Linked DNA regions of Arabidopsis thaliana. The protein of the gene in region 1 interacts with the protein of each later gene in a biochemical or structural test. Each region holds a gene or a part of one and is shown in the gene's direction. Other genes may lie near its edges. The genes, in order: CTR1, PP2A-1 and EIN2.

The links.
Region 2: the proteins of CTR1 (region 1) and PP2A-1 form a complex in vitro, tested with the Arabidopsis thaliana proteins (one study listed by BioGRID).
Region 3: of the proteins of CTR1 (region 1) and EIN2, one has a biochemical effect on the other in vitro, tested with the Arabidopsis thaliana proteins (one study listed by BioGRID).

The regions. Positions count from the first base shown.
Region 1 is NC_003076.8:973,783-981,423, reverse strand, and holds CTR1 (Protein kinase superfamily protein), read left to right. Parts: upstream 1-1,574; 5' UTR 1,575-1,763; coding exon 1,764-2,411; intron 2,412-2,586; coding exon 2,587-2,888; intron 2,889-2,985; coding exon 2,986-3,127; intron 3,128-3,344; coding exon 3,345-3,448; intron 3,449-3,583; coding exon 3,584-3,789; intron 3,790-4,146; coding exon 4,147-4,422; intron 4,423-4,612; coding exon 4,613-4,653; intron 4,654-4,929; coding exon 4,930-4,998; intron 4,999-5,078; coding exon 5,079-5,179; intron 5,180-5,268; coding exon 5,269-5,353; intron 5,354-5,447; coding exon 5,448-5,546; intron 5,547-5,779; coding exon 5,780-5,848; intron 5,849-5,951; coding exon 5,952-6,083; intron 6,084-6,197; coding exon 6,198-6,292; intron 6,293-6,369; coding exon 6,370-6,466; 3' UTR 6,467-6,574; exon of another isoform or gene 6,575-6,715; 3' UTR 6,716-7,064; downstream 7,065-7,641. UniProt on the Arabidopsis thaliana protein: Acts as a negative regulator in the ethylene response pathway. Phosphorylates the cytosolic C-terminal domain of EIN2, preventing the signaling in the absence of ethylene.
Region 2 is NC_003070.9:22,019,805-22,024,243, reverse strand, and holds PP2A-1 (protein phosphatase 2A-2), read left to right. Parts: upstream 1-1,740; 5' UTR 1,741-1,950; coding exon 1,951-2,203; intron 2,204-2,409; coding exon 2,410-2,524; intron 2,525-2,620; coding exon 2,621-2,729; intron 2,730-2,816; coding exon 2,817-2,894; intron 2,895-3,081; coding exon 3,082-3,273; coding exon of another isoform or gene 3,274-3,315; exon of another isoform or gene 3,316-3,362; coding exon 3,363-3,536; 3' UTR 3,537-3,867; downstream 3,868-4,439. Other genes in the region: AT1G59833 (Defensin-like (DEFL) family protein), read right to left, coding at 530-685, 809-907; ALA3 (aminophospholipid ATPase 3), read right to left, coding at 4,221-4,439.
Region 3 is NC_003076.8:785,577-793,474, forward strand, and holds EIN2 (NRAMP metal ion transporter family protein), read left to right. Parts: upstream 1-1,851; 5' UTR 1,852-2,021; intron 2,022-2,554; 5' UTR 2,555-3,012; coding exon 3,013-3,261; intron 3,262-3,405; coding exon 3,406-3,492; intron 3,493-3,582; coding exon 3,583-3,693; intron 3,694-3,784; coding exon 3,785-3,997; intron 3,998-4,078; coding exon 4,079-4,264; intron 4,265-4,374; coding exon 4,375-7,035; intron 7,036-7,112; coding exon 7,113-7,490; 3' UTR 7,491-7,828; downstream 7,829-7,898. UniProt on the Arabidopsis thaliana protein: Central factor in signaling pathways regulated by ethylene (ET) and involved in various processes including development, plant defense, senescence, nucleotide sugar flux, and tropisms.

The DNA.
Region 1 (7,641 bases):
AGAATTAAGGAACACTATTATTATATTAAACACAATTCATTTTAGTTAGATCTATTCGGGGCCTCTCGTGTTTAGATTTAGAAGAGTTCTCGGCATGAATCATGAACATTTTCCAATGCTCTTAAATTTATAGTTTACCAATATTATACTCCGGTTTTACATATCACACATAATTTCGATTTTTTTCAACATATGTGATCATAATCAATTGTTAAGTTTTAATTTATGCGCATAAAAAAATATATGTTTGTATAGTAGTTAAGGAGAATTTTTTTTTGTTATGTTTTAGCACTTTTTGGATTAATACTAGTTTTAAAAGTATGATTTTTTTTTTATTTTTTTTTGTGCACAAATATGATCAAACCCAAAAGTTTCTTTACATAGTAGCAACTTTATATTCTCAGCAGCCATGGCTAAAAAACGTAAGTTAATGACAAAAATGCGTTGAGTGCAATGAACCTGGCAGTATTCGATGAACCTTAGCGGATCAAATGATATAAATATGCAATAGAATTTAAATATTTATTTATTGTCCAAGCTGCGTGGATAGCTTGATAGATAAATTAATGACAGCACATTGACTACCCAAGCTGCGTTGATAAGTACTTGATCAAAATCTTTACATTTTTATGAAGTACTATAATCCAAAGTTAACTTTTAAGCAAAAGATAATTTTTTGTAATGGTTGTGAAAAATTCACTTATAATAACACGAAACATAATGAAGTATTATTAGTTCATTTATATATAATACACAAAAAACATAAAGGCAATAAAAATAACCAAATTAAAAAAAAATGGAGAAGTAGAAAAGAAAACGAAAAAAAAAAAAAAAGAGAGAGATAAGATGCATGCATGGTATAGAAGTCGCAGGCCGAAGACCAGAAATACGAATGTGTTTGAATAGACAAATTAAGGAATATAAAGACAGAAGAGCCCATCCATTTTCGCATACACGAATACATCCCCCTCGACTCCAATTATTTTATTATAGTCCATTCTCTCACTTTCTATTCTAAATATTGTGGACGTTATAAAGGCTTTTTATTTATTTTATGTCGAGTTTTTTAGACTACGTAGAGCCGAATGAAAATTTCATGTTTAGGTATACGAAACTTGGATCCAATGTTACGGATTCAGATTGGTGTAAAAGATCAAATTTGATAGTATTTGGATTTGATAGGCAAGATGGTTTAGTATTTTACACTGTGTATGTTCCTCTTTTAGCTTTGCGTTTTCTACTTTCACTACGATACTACTTTTTATCTTCCAATTTCAGTTGCTTATCACCAAAATATGAAATACCAAATTAATTGTTTAAACAGTTTTATTAGCGATTAAATTAGCACAAAACATATGAATAGATATCATAGTCGAATACAAAAATTAGACAAATAATAATACACTAAAAAACAAACTAAATTGGAGAATTGTTTTGACAAAAAATAAAAAAAATGTCAAAGTTCCATAAAAAGGAGGACAAAAGAGGAATATAACGAAATTATCAACAGAAACGCACCGAGTAAGTTTATTTCCTATGATAACGCAAAAACAAAAAAAAAATCCAATTCCATTAGAGAGAGAGAGAGAGAGAGAGAGAGAGAGAGACTTTTTTAAAAAGTACAAAAAAAAAATGAAAAACTAGAGAGAGAAACAAGTGGCTAGCTAGCTCGCCAAACTTCTTCAACAATGGCGGTTTCCTAGGGTTTGATGTTTATATGATCGGGAAACTCTCTCATCTAGATCGCGATAACTCTCTTTTCCATGGAAATGCCCGGTAGAAGATCTAATTACACTTTGCTTAGTCAATTTTCTGACGATCAGGTGTCAGTTTCCGTCACCGGAGCTCCTCCGCCTCACTATGATTCCTTGTCGAGCGAAAACAGGAGCAACCATAACAGCGGGAACACCGGGAAAGCTAAGGCGGAGAGAGGCGGATTTGATTGGGATCCTAGCGGTGGTGGTGGTGGTGATCATAGGTTGAATAATCAACCGAATCGGGTTGGGAATAATATGTATGCTTCGTCTCTAGGGTTGCAAAGGCAATCCAGTGGGAGTAGTTTCGGTGAGAGCTCTTTGTCTGGGGATTATTACATGCCTACGCTTTCTGCGGCGGCTAACGAGATCGAATCTGTTGGATTTCCTCAAGATGATGGGTTTAGGCTTGGATTTGGTGGTGGTGGAGGAGATTTGAGGATACAGATGGCGGCGGACTCCGCTGGAGGGTCTTCATCTGGGAAGAGCTGGGCGCAGCAGACGGAGGAGAGTTATCAGCTGCAGCTTGCATTGGCGTTAAGGCTTTCGTCGGAGGCTACTTGTGCCGACGATCCGAACTTTCTGGATCCTGTACCGGACGAGTCTGCTTTACGGACTTCGCCAAGTTCAGCCGAAACCGTTTCACATCGTTTCTGGGTATTTGTTCCTGTTAAGCTTTGTTTCCCAAAATTATTGAATCGTGGTTATAGAGATATGGTCCTCTTGTTTCCGAAGTTTCAGTTAGATCTCCTTACCAAAAGTCTATTAGTAGCAAATGAGATATGTTGTTTAGATACATTGCAGAGTATGATTGTTTTGTGTGCTGCATCAGGTTAATGGCTGCTTATCGTACTATGATAAAGTTCCTGATGGGTTTTATATGATGAATGGTCTGGATCCCTATATTTGGACCTTATGCATCGACCTGCATGAAAGTGGTCGCATCCCTTCAATTGAATCATTAAGAGCTGTTGATTCTGGTGTTGATTCTTCGCTTGAAGCGATCATAGTTGATAGGCGTAGTGATCCAGCCTTCAAGGAACTTCACAATAGAGTCCACGACATATCTTGTAGCTGCATTACCACAAAAGAGGTTGTTGATCAGCTGGCAAAGCTTATCTGCAATCGTATGGGGTTTGTACTCATACAATCCTTACTATCCCTTTGAACTTATATTTTTATATCTTCCTGTGATTTCTCACATTGTACTCGTTAATTCTTGCTTCCCCAGGGGTCCAGTTATCATGGGGGAAGATGAGTTGGTTCCCATGTGGAAGGAGTGCATTGATGGTCTAAAAGAAATCTTTAAAGTGGTGGTTCCCATAGGTAGCCTCTCTGTTGGACTCTGCAGACATCGAGCTTTACTCTTCAAAGTGAGATCCCAACTTTGATGCTATCCCCATGACATTTAAGACATCTTGTGAAATGATCATATAAATTATTGTGCTTCATCCATTTGTTTTTATTGGAATACATATGAAGAACGTTGAATGTGAAAAGTGGTGTTATTGATTAGAAAAAAATAGGTTACTGATAGTTGAATGTTCCAAAGAAAAAAAGTATTTTATATCTTCTATTTGGTGCATGCAGGTACTGGCTGACATAATTGATTTACCCTGTCGAATTGCCAAAGGATGTAAATATTGTAATAGAGACGATGCCGCTTCGTGCCTTGTCAGGTTTGGGCTTGATAGGTATGATACAAGTGATTGCGAAAGAGCCTTTATTTTCCTATTTTCTTTGCTTTTTGTTTCTGGAAAAACAATTATAGCTCCAAATGTTTCGCAGAATATTAGGTTGATGACGTGGAAAATTTGTTTTGGTTTCAGGGAGTACCTGGTTGATTTAGTAGGAAAGCCAGGTCACTTATGGGAGCCTGATTCCTTGCTAAATGGTCCTTCATCTATCTCAATTTCTTCTCCTCTGCGGTTTCCACGACCAAAGCCAGTTGAACCCGCAGTCGATTTTAGGTTACTAGCCAAACAATATTTCTCCGATAGCCAGTCTCTTAATCTTGTTTTCGATCCTGCATCAGGTATTCCCATACAAAAAACCTGAATAATATGTTAACTTTTTGCATGCTGCTTACATCTCGTTTTGTATTTCCCCTAAAAGAGTAATCTCCTATCATTTAGGGTATTTCTTGATCATGTCTCAGTATCTGAAGTGTTAGTAGTCTTAGAATGATTCTATTGTTTGTTTTCTTGTCTCTTTTCACTTTAGTTGTTTTTGGCTGTTGATGTGTATGTTTGTTGGTGGGTTCTTTGCCTAATGATATTTAAGGTTAAACTTGTTAGTCTGCTGTTCAAGCTTATGAATTCTAGTGCATTTATGTGCAAGACTTGTCTTCTGGACTCTAATTTCTTATATCTGCTTGTTTGAATGGTTGTAGATGATATGGGATTCTCAATGTTTCATAGGCAATATGATAATCCGGGTGGAGAGAATGACGCATTGGCAGAAAATGGTGGTGGGTCTTTGCCACCCAGTGCTAATATGCCTCCACAGAACATGATGCGTGCGTCAAATCAAATTGAAGCAGCACCTATGAATGCCCCACCAATCAGTCAGCCAGTTCCAAACAGGGCAAATAGGGAACTTGGACTTGATGGTGATGATATGGACATCCCGTGGTGTGATCTTAATATAAAAGAAAAGATTGGAGCAGGTAATAATTTTACGGAAAAATTAATGATTCGGTCTAAAAATGCAAAGAAATATGAAATTCTTGAGGAAGTGGTTTTGCTTTGGACTCTGTTCTCGAACAAAATAAGGAAAAAGTGCCACCCATTTTGAGATTACATTCTTCTCTGTTGCCTTTAATTCTTCCACTCTAATTTGAGCGACTGCTCTTTCAGGTTCCTTTGGCACTGTCCACCGTGCTGAGTGGCATGGCTCGGTAAGAACTTTTTTGTCAGAATTTACGCAGCTGAATTTTTTTTCGCTCTAAAAATTTGGTTGTGACTTTTGGATCTGCTTGGTATTATAAAAGGCAAAGTTATTGTATATGTGACTCTCCGTTCTGTCAGAAATTAAACACGGACAAAAGGTGTCCCATTTTAGATGTATATGTGTCTTTATATCATAAATTTGTCTTCCTGTTTGAATTTTACAATTCTATCACTAGAAGAATTCTAATTTTGATTATTGCAGTAATATTCTCTATCAATTTCAGGATGTTGCTGTGAAAATTCTCATGGAGCAAGACTTCCATGCTGAGCGTGTTAATGAGTTCTTAAGAGAGGTGCACAAATAAAATTTTCTCTTGATTTTGGTAATGAACTTGTTGTATTAATGTCTCCAATGATCTTGATTCGCTGTCAGGTTGCGATAATGAAACGCCTTCGCCACCCTAACATTGTTCTCTTCATGGGTGCGGTCACTCAACCTCCAAATTTGTCAATAGTGACAGAATATTTGTCAAGGTACAATTACTTGGATTTGGAAGGTTTGATGTACTGAGTGTAGAATTTTGGCCTATAATGACTCTAATACCATGATTTCTTTCAAACAGAGGTAGTTTATACAGACTTTTGCATAAAAGTGGAGCAAGGGAGCAATTAGATGAGAGACGTCGCCTGAGTATGGCTTATGATGTGGTATGTTTAATTCCTTATGTTACATGTATGGGTGATTACTTCCTGATCTTGGTGTTTCTTCACATGGAACTTTCTTTCCAATTCTCTGTCACAGGCTAAGGGAATGAATTATCTTCACAATCGCAATCCTCCAATTGTGCATAGAGATCTAAAATCTCCAAACTTATTGGTTGACAAAAAATATACAGTCAAGGTTTGAATCTAAATTAGAAATTGTTGTGTCCAATGTTTTGATTTTGATATTTTATTCCTCTTGTGAGACAAGCTTATATATAAATTATGATTTTTAATTCTAAATTGGTTTGGAGACATTACAAAAAGGCGTTAATCTGCTGAAACTTAAAAGATACAGCAGCCTCAAGCTGTCGTCTTAAAAACAATCAGAACATTATTATTCTAACTCCTCAATTTGTCTTGAAATTTCAGGTTTGTGATTTTGGTCTCTCGCGATTGAAGGCCAGCACGTTTCTTTCCTCGAAGTCAGCAGCTGGAACCGTAAGTTCAGTTTGTTTGAAACTAAAACACGCTGAACAACGTAACTTTCTTCTAGGTCCTATTTCCAATGGAAGCTAAATAATTACTGACTTTGATATATCAGCCCGAGTGGATGGCACCAGAAGTCCTGCGAGATGAGCCGTCTAATGAAAAGTCAGATGTGTACAGCTTCGGGGTCATCTTGTGGGAGCTTGCTACATTGCAACAACCATGGGGTAACTTAAATCCGGCTCAGGTACTTTCCACTCTAAACATCTCAAATAATAATGATATTATTTTGCATTTGGAAGTCCCTCACTCTACATTTCATAACATGCTATATATGATCATACAAAAAAATGTTCCATAGGTTGTAGCTGCGGTTGGTTTCAAGTGTAAACGGCTGGAGATCCCGCGTAATCTGAATCCTCAGGTTGCAGCCATAATCGAGGGTTGTTGGACCAAGTACGTTAAGATTTTCTATCTCTTTTTTGAATTCTTCTTGAATAGACTTCATGTTTATGTATGTGTTTCATTACCAGTGAGCCATGGAAGCGTCCATCATTTGCAACTATAATGGACTTGCTAAGACCATTGATCAAATCAGCGGTTCCTCCGCCCAACCGCTCGGATTTGTAAAATACCCCCGGTCCATTCAAAAGTTGTTATAATCATGATATGCACATATACTCTCAGCATTCTTTTGCTGCCCAGGAGGGAGACACTAGTTAAGATATAGCTTTAAAGGTACATTCCTCATGAGCTATCAATCATATCCTACAGAATCCCATGGTTTTTATACATGTATTATTTTTGCGATCTTTGTCTGCTGTTTTGTTCCCTTTTTAATGTTGCAGATTGTTAAAATGTACATGACTATTGTCACAGGGAGGAAAAAAAAATGTAGTAATGGAAACAATGTGAGGGATATAATCTATCTATCTAGTCCCAAAGGGTAAGCAATATTTTGTTGTTATGTCTTTGTAGCAATGCACTGAAAGCTATATTTAATTACATTGCTGTACATTTATACCGCTAAATTAGTTACTAAGCGAAGGTAAAAAAGAGCAGCTGGTAAATGCTGTCAAAGGGTTTTGCAAACTCAATATGATTCATTGGATTTACATTTGTTCACTGTGCGATTAGTCTGGACTATAAACCAACAGAAATGAAATAAGACTGTAACTTTCGGAGACTCTAATACAGATGAATATAATCCCAAATCGTTAAAAACGCATTGGGACTGAAAATATCTAGATACATAGTCAACTATTTTTGCCTTCGCGTCTAAGTAAGTTCCCACACTTGAAAACGACTTTACCTGTCTTCCGAATTAATCGTTTGATGGATCGGTAACCAATAGGATTGCGTAAATCAAAATTATACAATATTAAATTCTGAAAAAGGAAACACGAAAAGCGAATCAGTGATTTGTGAGGGCCCAGTTCCAAATTAGAAAGCTGACCTGGCAAACGCGCTAAATCACTCCTCCTTTCAAAAATCTCAAGATGACGTGGGACCCACCATCGTCACCACTTTCTCTCCTTCACCAAATCACAGAGAGAGAGAGCTAAGTGAAGCTGCAAGGAAACAACTTTCAATTTCAATGTCGGTTGTACAATTATTTGTCACTAAAGTTTCCAAATTTCTTCTAAACTGATGAATCAATGGAACATGATGACGAAAAAGATAAATCCACGGTGGCGGGAACTGACCCACCCATTTCCACCGCCTCTCTATTCCCCAGATTTTTTTCAATTATCTGACTACAGTTTGTCGGTTACTTCCTTCCCTAAACCTTTATAAACCATTAA
Region 2 (4,439 bases), on another chromosome or scaffold:
AAATGGACGTCGAGACAAATATAATTTTGTTAGAAAATGCTAGATTAAAAATACCAATCTTAATTTTGTTTGATTTGGAAATCAAAGAAGGTTCAAATCACCATGGCTCATATGAGTATTGGTTTCTATAATCTGTAACAACAACATTGTGGTATTTTCCCACTTTTTGTAACAAAATCACATTGTCCATATACATAGTGTTGAATTATGCAGTTTTTTCACATTTTCTATTTCCGTAAAATCTCTGCGAGTATTTTATAAGAAAACTTATATGTCATTTCTAAATTGAATTTAAATCAATCCAATTCAATATAGTTTAATTTAGTAAACTCTCTGTCAATAATTTTGATAGAATGTTATTAGGTTGTAAATACGAATGTTGAGGTCAATATAATTAGACTACAAAAAGGCTAGTATAATAAGACTTTTATTATTAAGATCAATAAATACTACAAAAGTCATCTTTTAAAATGCGGTAAAAAAAAACTATAACGATCAAATTGCCAATTACTAAAAGAAGTATCAATTCCTACGATGTGTAGCAACAACATTGTGGGTTGTCTTCACCTTTTGTTTGATAATCACAAAATCCATATGCATATTGTTGACTTGTACACTCTTCGTTACATGGTCTATTACCGAAAGCTATCTCACATGGCCCAATGCAATGTGGCTCTTGCTCTTGCTGGATTGCTGCAAATACACAATCCAATAATATACATACATATAAATAGCTATTACCAATTCTATATTTTATGATATAAAAATGTTCAAACATTGCTCTTCAAATGATCAAAGATAATTTAACGATAACAACTAACCTGGTTTGGCCAATGTTGTAGCTAGAAAATGAAATTGTCAATATCCCTACAAAGAAAATAATCACATATGTTTTTCTGATGTCCATTATATATTTTCACTATGAACTCTATTGAGAAAAATAGACTTTTATAGTTTTCTATATCTTTAATAAAGATTCTTTATGAAGATCTCTATTTATAGAAAAATAGATTTTTATAGTTTTCTATATCTGTGATCAGTTCAAATATTCTTTATGAAGATCTCTATTTATAAGATTATTTTTTTTTCGAATAAAAATATCAGTTTTCACACTATATTTCAGTTTTTTCACAACCATAAATGAATATTCTATATTTTTAATATGAGGTTGGCTAAAATTTATTAATTATCGTTCTTAATTATAAATTTCACTAAAAATAAATTTAATTGTATTAAACTGAACAGATGATTAATCTAAGCATGTTTTACACAAATATAATAATAACCAATTTTAATATATTTTTGATTTAAACAATTACACAAACTGATTTTGCCATAGCTTTTGCCGATGAACTGGCGAGATCATTGTGTCAATAAAAACTACGTAAAATCCCAGTGTACCGTGATCATTCAAATCCATGAAAATATTCGTCTAACTAAATGGAAAATCTCAGATGAGTTGATATCGATACCAAAGGAAATTGAGCTTAATACTATGGACAATATAATACACATGAAATTGTTACTATAATCATTGCTTGGTTAATTCGAAGAAGAACTCAAAAATAATTTTTCATTATACAATAGTCTTGATTTACATAGAAGTCTCAACTCTTAAGACTTTCAATAGTTAAATAACTGATACACTTTGAAGTTTAGGTGTCCTGTCTGATTAAAAATTTGCCAATGTCATTTCCTTTTGACCAGGCTTGGTTAAGAAACAAACTAAAAAAAATCACTCGTTAACAAAAAAAATTGTGTAAAGAATAATAAATATCCATTTTGTGTGATATGAGAGAAACAAAACCAAAGACGAGCCAGAGCCACCTCTAACACCATCGGCGACTTCTCCTCCTACTCCTCCGTCGCCGACGTGTTCGATTTACAACGATTCGGTGGCTATTGGTTGTAAGATTTAGAATTAAAGGTTAAAGGAGACGACGACGAGAGATGCCGTTAAACGGAGATCTCGACCGTCAGATCGAACAGCTAATGGAGTGTAAGCCGTTAGGTGAAGCAGACGTGAAGATCCTTTGCGATCAAGCTAAAGCGATTCTTGTTGAGGAATATAATGTTCAACCGGTTAAGTGTCCGGTTACGGTATGCGGCGATATCCATGGCCAGTTTTATGACCTAATTGAGCTATTTCGTATTGGTGGTAATGCTCCTGATACTAATTACCTCTTCATGGGAGATTATGTAGGTATGTCTTTCTCTCTTCTCTATCACTCTATTTCAATTTTTTTTGTGTGGGTAAGTTAAATTTCCTGATTTGTTGGGTTTTTAGAGATCTGTGTTCTTATGTTGATTTTCAGAGCATGTTTGATTCAAAGTACGCTGGTTCAGTTTGAAGTTTGGAGCTAATAGTTATTTCTTTGGTTTATTGTTGTCTTGGTTATATCTGTGCAGATCGTGGCTACTATTCTGTAGAAACAGTCTCTCTATTGGTGGCATTAAAGGTGCGTTACAGGGACAGACTTACGATCCTGCGAGGGAATCATGAGAGCCGTCAGATTACACAAGTGTAAGATTTTCTTTCTAAGAAGACTTGTATTTCATTTGCTTCTGACTCGCAAGCACTAACAATGGTTTGTGCCTGTTTTTGCTTATGTTTGTTCAGCTATGGTTTTTATGACGAATGCTTGAGGAAATACGGAAATGCAAATGTGTGGAAGTATTTTACGGACCTTTTCGATTATCTCCCTCTTACAGCACTCATAGAGAGTCAGGTTCGAGCTGTTCTTGCCAGTCGTCATTGTATCATCCGTAGTTGTTTCACTTCCGCACTTTTCTTCATCAACTGTATTCCGTGACAGGTTTTCTGTTTGCATGGAGGCCTTTCACCTTCTCTGGATACTCTTGACAATATCCGAAGCTTGGATCGAATACAAGAGGTATTGTTTTGGGTATAGAAGCATTGTTTTGCATTTAGTATCTGTAAATGTCTCCTCTTTTTCCCTAAAGACATTGTTTCTCTCTGGCTATAAACTCTCTGAAACCAACCTCCTAGTTATTATTAGTTTTGGCTTCAGATAGAACAAGGATTGTAATAATCTGATATGGTATGCTCTGGGATTGTAGGTTCCACACGAAGGACCAATGTGCGATCTACTCTGGTCTGATCCCGACGATCGTTGTGGATGGGGAATATCTCCTCGTGGTGCTGGTTACACGTTTGGACAGGACATTGCTACTCAGTTTAATCATAACAATGGACTGAGTCTGATCTCAAGAGCGCATCAACTTGTAATGGAAGGCTATAATTGGTGTCAGGTATATAATATGTGCATAACAATAGATTGGCATATGTGTTGAATAGGGTTCTGGTTGCAAAAATGCTGAATCTTTCGGTGTGTTGATAGGAAAAGAACGTAGTGACAGTGTTTAGTGCACCGAACTACTGTTACAGATGTGGAAACATGGCCGCAATTCTTGAGATTGGAGAAAAGATGGAACAGAACTTCCTTCAATTCGATCCAGCACCTAGACAAGTCGAACCCGATACCACGCGCAAGACCCCTGATTATTTTTTGTGATTTCATTTTTTTTCTTCCAAAGTTTGTTTGTTGCTGTATCATTGTAGATGTGTCTGTTTTATTTTGTTTTTTCGAGTCTCTAGATGGAATGTGATACCAAAGACGAAAAACCCATCATTTTTTTGTTGATGTTGATACTGAAACAGGTTTGTAGAAGCCTCTTCTTATTATAGAAAATGTCTTTTGATAATAACTTGATGTTTCAATTAAGAATTCACTATTTCTATCACAGTTGGTGTGTAATAGTACCAATAGAGTATTCGTCCTCTCCTAAACCATTTCTTCGTTGTTATAAGGCATCGACTAATAATATAAAATGGGATTGTTATAGTAGTACTCTAAAATGGGGTATACACATTTGACATACAATGTATAAGAAGAATAAGACGCAAAAGATATTTGGAATAAAAAAAAAGAGAAATAATAAACTCAAAGGTGTAATAAAATCAATTTTATGTACATGGGGAACAAGTATTGGGTTCCTAACGCCTTGCCTCTCCACATTAGTCATAAATGGAGCTATGAAAATGGCATTTAAAGCAAAACACAAACATAAAACACCTAAATGAAGCATATTTTCTACATATATTTTAGAACTAAAGGCCCTAACAAAAACCCCCCAAGCCGATGACATTGCCTAAATGTACAAAGACAATTAGCAATAATATGTTATATATTGGATCTTTACTTCTTCGGTACCTTTGGCCGTGATCTCATACTGGCTCTCCTTGCCACATCCCACGCCTTCTGTGGCGCGTATATCCCTAACTGAGACGCAAAGAAAGATTCATAACCTGGTGAATCAAACGCAAACCCAGTGTGCTTTGAGAGCTCCCGAGGCAATTGTGATATCGCATAGCTTCTCGCCTCTTGAGGTGTGAGCTCATTCTCTACCTCCAGCTG
Region 3 (7,898 bases), 190 kb from region 1:
CTTTCACAAGAGAATATGGATAATGTTGAGTATGTTAAATATATAGTGACAAGTTACATAAAAAAAGCCTAAAGAAATCAAATTGGAAAAAATAGTAAGGTACAATGTATGGTTATCGAAAGCCCAAGCTGTACTTCCATTGATGTAGGAGATGATTAGGAACACGTGGATTATATTTGACCAAAAATAGTAGAAATTCTATTTATATTTGTTTTCTTCTTTTGGTTTTGGGTTTGATTTTGTGATTTGGATAGTTCGGTTAAGGATGGTTTGATCAATCAATATAACCATACTAAAATATGATTCAGTTAACTAACTATAGTAACTGTTTCTTCGTTAGTAAAATGATACATTTATTGGAATCTATTGACAAATCTTAATGACTTATTATAACTGGTGATAACAAAATCTAGCTATTATTTTGTATCCAACTACATATTTTGTATAAAATGGAAATTCGTATATGATATTTGTTTAGTTTAAAAGTAGAGTGTATTTGTTTTTTCAATGATGATTTAATGAAATCAAGCTCTTAGTTGAGATCAAAAGACAAATAAAACAAAATGTTTTTTTTTGTTTTGTTTCTTTTCTATTTGAGGGAAGGCCATGAATTCTTATTTTTGACAAATAGTTGTTCTATGCAATTAATATTGATGTCTAATACATATACAGCAGAATAAATAAAAACTTGCTATATAAAGACGTATTATTTATAGCATTCTGTGGAGTATAATGTCGAATCCTGTTCTCATTTCCGATTTTACATATTTATGGTACTAACGCCTTCATTTATTTTTCCATTTTCGTTAGTCAACAACTTCAGCTTTTGATAACGCCTAATTGTATCATCAACTTTAGTTAGTTTTCTCAAATAACGTCATTTTCAAATAAAGTTTTTGATTTCTCTTTTATTATATTTATGCAAAAGGAAAATTATAATTTCAGTATTTTGCAGAACGCTGAAATGTATAATAGAACCTATTCATGTATTTTTGTAAAATTTTAAAGATTGTTTTAATACTAAAATAAGTAAATCATTAAAAAAATTCCTAGACATTGGTCTCTAATATAAGATAAATAGATCTAAATTATGTTTGGATTTTAATTCTAATAAAAAGGTAGCCAAAAGTTATATATACAATATTTAAACAATTTTATTTGTTTAAGATTTGAATTTTATAGTATGCGAGAATCGCGTAAACTTTTCTCGAATGTAACAAAAAATTTCAAATCTTCTCGACACATGTAATCTTTTGCGAGTTAGAAGATTTGATTCCTTATTTTTTGTTCGTATTCTTAAAGTTAGTCACGTTTATATTATTTTTCGCTTTGTAACCGTCCCTTTAAATTTTTAATAAAAATTAAAAAAATTGCTAGAAAACAACATTTTTGTATTACTCAAATCAAAAGTACAAAAATAAATTTAGCTAGCGTTTCACAAAATCAAGTAAAATAATCTCCATTTGAAACTCCATAATCAAGCTGTTTGATGTATTATTATTACATGTAATGAGGAGAAAGAGGGGTCGAGAAATTTAAAGTAATAATAATTCTCTTCTTCGTCCATGGAATAAACTACGATTAGTTTAAAAAGATTAATAAAGATGGATTAAAGAAACTATATGTTAAACCTGGAAAATTTATTTAAAAAGACGTTTTTTTAGCTATAAGAAAAAAAAGAATAATACCTTTATTTTTACATGTTATTTACAAGTAATAATTTTTTTTTTCTCTCTCTCTCTTTGAAGGTGGCACGAGCACCCATAACCTTCAGACCTATAGATACAAATATGTATGTATACGTTTTTTATATATAAATATTTTATATAATTGATTTTTCGATCTTCTTTTATCTCTCTCTTTCGATGGAACTGAGCTCTTTCTCTCTTTCCTCTTCTTTTCTCTCTCTATCTCTATCTCTCGTAGCTTGATAAGAGTTTCTCTCTTTTGAAGATCCGTTTCTCTCTCTCTCACTGAGACTATTGTTGTTAGGTCAACTTGCGATCATGGCGATTTCGAAGGTGACTTCTTTCAAAAACCCTAATCCTCTGTTTTTTTTTTTATTTTGCTGGGGGGCTTTGTACGGACTTTCATGGGTTTTTGTAGCTTTTCCCTCGGCTTTTGCGCAAATGAGACTTTCTGGGTTTTTTTTCCAGCTTTTTATAATTTCATCAGGTGGATCGAATTCGTAGTTTCAGCTTAGATCTCTCTCCCTCTTCATTATCTGGACTTTCCAGACTTGGAGTTCTTCGGGATTGTTTTCGGTTTCTGGGTTTTGTTTTAATTGCGAGATTTAAGCTTTTTTCTTTTTTACTACTGTACTTGGTTTGTGGTTGACCTTTTTTTTCCTTGAAGATCTGAATGCGTAGATCATACGGGATCTTTGCATTTTTGTTGCTTTTCGTCAGCGTTACGATTCTTTTAGCTTCAGTTTAGTTGAAATTTGTATTTTTTTTGAGCTTATCTTCTTTTTGTTGCTGCTTCATACTAAGATCAATTATTGATTTGTAATACTACTGTATCTGAAGATTTTCACCATAAAAAAAAAATTCAGGTCTGAAGCTGATTTCGAATGGTTTGGAGATATCCGTAGTGGTTAAGCATATGGAAGTCTATGTTCTGCTCTTGGTTGCTCTGTTAGGGCTTCCTCCATTTGGACCAACTTAGCTGAATGTTGTATGATCTCTCTCCTTGAAGCAGCAAATAAGAAGAAGGTCTGGTCCTTAACTTAACATCTGGTTACTAGAGGAAACTTCAGCTATTATTAGGTAAAGAAAGACTGTACAGAGTTGTATAACAAGTAAGCGTTAGAGTGGCTTTGTTTGCCTCGGTGATAGAAGAACCGACTGATTCGTTGTTGTGTGTTAGCTTTGGAGGGAATCAGATTTCGCGAGGGAAGGTGTTTTAGATCAAATCTGTGAATTTTACTCAACTGAGGCTTTTAGTGAACCACGACTGTAGAGTTGACCTTGAATCCTACTCTGAGTAATTATATTATCAGATAGATTTAGGATGGAAGCTGAAATTGTGAATGTGAGACCTCAGCTAGGGTTTATCCAGAGAATGGTTCCTGCTCTACTTCCTGTCCTTTTGGTTTCTGTCGGATATATTGATCCCGGGAAATGGGTTGCAAATATCGAAGGAGGTGCTCGTTTCGGGTATGACTTGGTGGCAATTACTCTGCTTTTCAATTTTGCCGCCATCTTATGCCAATATGTTGCAGCTCGCATAAGCGTTGTGACTGGTAAACACTTGGCTCAGGTAAACATTTTTCTGATCTCTAAAGAACAAACTTTTTAAAATAACAAACTGGGCTCTGTGGTTGTCTTGTCACTTTCTCAAAGTGGAATTCTACTAACCACCTTCTCTATTTTTCTAACATTTTAATGTTCTTTACTGGGACAGATCTGCAATGAAGAATATGACAAGTGGACGTGCATGTTCTTGGGCATTCAGGCGGAGTTCTCAGCAATTCTGCTCGACCTTACCATGGTAGTTACTTACAATCTTTGCTGTTCTTAATTTTTTTATTATGTGATAAAATTTTGATTCCTCTGACTTGAGCTTCTCTATTATAAACAGGTTGTGGGAGTTGCGCATGCACTTAACCTTTTGTTTGGGGTGGAGTTATCCACTGGAGTGTTTTTGGCCGCCATGGATGCGTTTTTATTTCCTGTTTTCGCCTCTTTCCTTGTATGACTGGTCTTCCTGTCTTGTTTTTTTTCTCCACGTTCTTGAAATAGCATTATTGGAAATTAGCTGACATGCATACAATTTCTGACAGGAAAATGGTATGGCAAATACAGTATCCATTTACTCTGCAGGCCTGGTATTACTTCTCTATGTATCTGGCGTCTTGCTGAGTCAGTCTGAGATCCCACTCTCTATGAATGGAGTGTTAACTCGGTTAAATGGAGAGAGCGCATTCGCACTGATGGGTCTTCTTGGCGCAAGCATCGTCCCTCACAATTTTTATATCCATTCTTATTTTGCTGGGGTACCTTTTTTCTCTTTATATGTATCTCTCTTTTCTGTTAAGAAGCAATAATTATACTAAGCAGTGAACGCTCTATTACAGGAAAGTACATCTTCGTCTGATGTCGACAAGAGCAGCTTGTGTCAAGACCATTTGTTCGCCATCTTTGGTGTCTTCAGCGGACTGTCACTTGTAAATTATGTATTGATGAATGCAGCAGCTAATGTGTTTCACAGTACTGGCCTTGTGGTACTGACTTTTCACGATGCCTTGTCACTAATGGAGCAGGTTTGTTCTGACGGTTTTATGTTCGTATTAGTCTATAATTCATTTTTAGGGAAAATGTTCAGAAATCTCTCGTGATTATTAATTATCTTGTTCTTGATTGTTGATCACAGGTATTTATGAGTCCGCTCATTCCAGTGGTCTTTTTGATGCTCTTGTTCTTCTCTAGTCAAATTACCGCACTAGCTTGGGCTTTCGGTGGAGAGGTCGTCCTGCATGACTTCCTGAAGATAGAAATACCCGCTTGGCTTCATCGTGCTACAATCAGAATTCTTGCAGTTGCTCCTGCGCTTTATTGTGTATGGACATCTGGTGCAGACGGAATATACCAGTTACTTATATTCACCCAGGTCTTGGTGGCAATGATGCTTCCTTGCTCGGTAATACCGCTTTTCCGCATTGCTTCGTCGAGACAAATCATGGGTGTCCATAAAATCCCTCAGGTTGGCGAGTTCCTCGCACTTACAACGTTTTTGGGATTTCTGGGGTTGAATGTTGTTTTTGTTGTTGAGATGGTATTTGGGAGCAGTGACTGGGCTGGTGGTTTGAGATGGAATACCGTGATGGGCACCTCGATTCAGTACACCACTCTGCTTGTATCGTCATGTGCATCCTTATGCCTGATACTCTGGCTGGCAGCCACGCCGCTGAAATCTGCGAGTAACAGAGCGGAAGCTCAAATATGGAACATGGATGCTCAAAATGCTTTATCTTATCCATCTGTTCAAGAAGAGGAAATTGAAAGAACAGAAACAAGGAGGAACGAAGACGAATCAATAGTGCGGTTGGAAAGCAGGGTAAAGGATCAGTTGGATACTACGTCTGTTACTAGCTCGGTCTATGATTTGCCAGAGAACATTCTAATGACGGATCAAGAAATCCGTTCGAGCCCTCCAGAGGAAAGAGAGTTGGATGTAAAGTACTCTACCTCTCAAGTTAGTAGTCTTAAGGAAGACTCTGATGTAAAGGAACAGTCTGTATTGCAGTCAACAGTGGTTAATGAGGTCAGTGATAAGGATCTGATTGTTGAAACAAAGATGGCGAAAATTGAACCAATGAGTCCTGTGGAGAAGATTGTTAGCATGGAGAATAACAGCAAGTTTATTGAAAAGGATGTTGAAGGGGTTTCATGGGAAACAGAAGAAGCTACCAAAGCTGCTCCTACAAGCAACTTTACTGTCGGATCTGATGGTCCTCCTTCATTCCGCAGCTTAAGTGGGGAAGGGGGAAGTGGGACTGGAAGCCTTTCACGGTTGCAAGGTTTGGGACGTGCTGCCCGGAGACACTTATCTGCGATCCTTGATGAATTTTGGGGACATTTATATGATTTTCATGGGCAATTGGTTGCTGAAGCCAGGGCAAAGAAACTAGATCAGCTGTTTGGCACTGATCAAAAGTCAGCCTCTTCTATGAAAGCAGATTCGTTTGGAAAAGACATTAGCAGTGGATATTGCATGTCACCAACTGCGAAGGGAATGGATTCACAGATGACTTCAAGTTTATATGATTCACTGAAGCAGCAGAGGACACCGGGAAGTATCGATTCGTTGTATGGATTACAAAGAGGTTCGTCACCGTCACCGTTGGTCAACCGTATGCAGATGTTGGGTGCATATGGTAACACCACTAATAATAATAATGCTTACGAATTGAGTGAGAGAAGATACTCTAGCCTGCGTGCTCCATCATCTTCAGAGGGTTGGGAACACCAACAACCAGCTACAGTTCACGGATACCAGATGAAGTCATATGTAGACAATTTGGCAAAAGAAAGGCTTGAAGCCTTACAATCCCGTGGAGAGATCCCGACATCGAGATCTATGGCGCTTGGTACATTGAGCTATACACAGCAACTTGCTTTAGCCTTGAAACAGAAGTCCCAGAATGGTCTAACCCCTGGACCAGCTCCTGGGTTTGAGAATTTTGCTGGGTCTAGAAGCATATCGCGACAATCTGAAAGATCTTATTACGGTGTTCCATCTTCTGGCAATACTGATACTGTTGGCGCAGCAGTAGCCAATGAGAAAAAATATAGTAGCATGCCAGATATCTCAGGATTGTCTATGTCCGCAAGGAACATGCATTTACCAAACAACAAGAGTGGATACTGGGATCCGTCAAGTGGAGGAGGAGGGTATGGTGCGTCTTATGGTCGGTTAAGCAATGAATCATCGTTATATTCTAATTTGGGGTCACGGGTGGGAGTACCCTCGACTTATGATGACATTTCTCAATCAAGAGGAGGCTACAGAGATGCCTACAGTTTGCCACAGAGTGCAACAACAGGGACCGGATCGCTTTGGTCCAGACAGCCCTTTGAGCAGTTTGGTGTAGCGGAGAGGAATGGTGCTGTTGGTGAGGAGCTCAGGAATAGATCGAATCCGATCAATATAGACAACAACGCTTCTTCTAATGTTGATGCAGAGGCTAAGCTTCTTCAGTCGTTCAGGCACTGTATTCTAAAGCTTATTAAACTTGAAGGATCCGAGTGGTTGTTTGGACAAAGCGATGGAGTTGATGAAGAACTGATTGACCGGGTAGCTGCACGAGAGAAGTTTATCTATGAAGCTGAAGCTCGAGAAATAAACCAGGTGGGTCACATGGGGGAGCCACTAATTTCATCGGTTCCTAACTGTGGAGATGGTTGCGTTTGGAGAGCTGATTTGATTGTGAGCTTTGGAGTTTGGTGCATTCACCGTGTCCTTGACTTGTCTCTCATGGAGAGTCGGCCTGAGCTTTGGGGAAAGTACACTTACGTTCTCAACCGCCTACAGGTAACAAAAACCGCAGTAGTTCATTGAAAATCACAGTTTTGCAGTTTGAAAATATTGACATGTATGGATTTAAACAGGGAGTGATTGATCCGGCGTTCTCAAAGCTGCGGACACCAATGACACCGTGCTTTTGCCTTCAGATTCCAGCGAGCCACCAGAGAGCGAGTCCGACTTCAGCTAACGGAATGTTACCTCCGGCTGCAAAACCGGCTAAAGGCAAATGCACAACCGCAGTCACACTTCTTGATCTAATCAAAGACGTTGAAATGGCAATCTCTTGTAGAAAAGGCCGAACCGGTACAGCTGCAGGTGATGTGGCTTTCCCAAAGGGGAAAGAGAATTTGGCTTCGGTTTTGAAGCGGTATAAACGTCGGTTATCGAATAAACCAGTAGGTATGAATCAGGATGGACCCGGTTCAAGAAAAAACGTGACTGCGTACGGATCATTGGGTTGAAGAAGAAGAACATTGTGAGAAATCTCATGATCAAAGTGACGTCGAGAGGGAAGCCGAAGAATCAAAACTCTCGCTTTTGATTGCTCCTCTGCTTCGTTAATTGTGTATTAAGAAAAGAAGAAAAAAAATGGATTTTTGTTGCTTCAGAATTTTTCGCTCTTTTTTTCTTAATTTGGTTGTAATGTTATGTTTATATACATATATCATCATCATAGGACCATAGCTACAAACCGAATCCGGTTTGTGTAATTCTATGCGGAATCATAAAGAAATCGTCGGTTTGAAATGTTAAATCTCCTAAACCGGATCTCTGCACGTAGCTGACACATCGACGCTAGATTACTGACACGTGTCCTTATCAATATTTCTTCTCGAAACGTCTTACTGTTTCATAAAGTCCTTCAAATT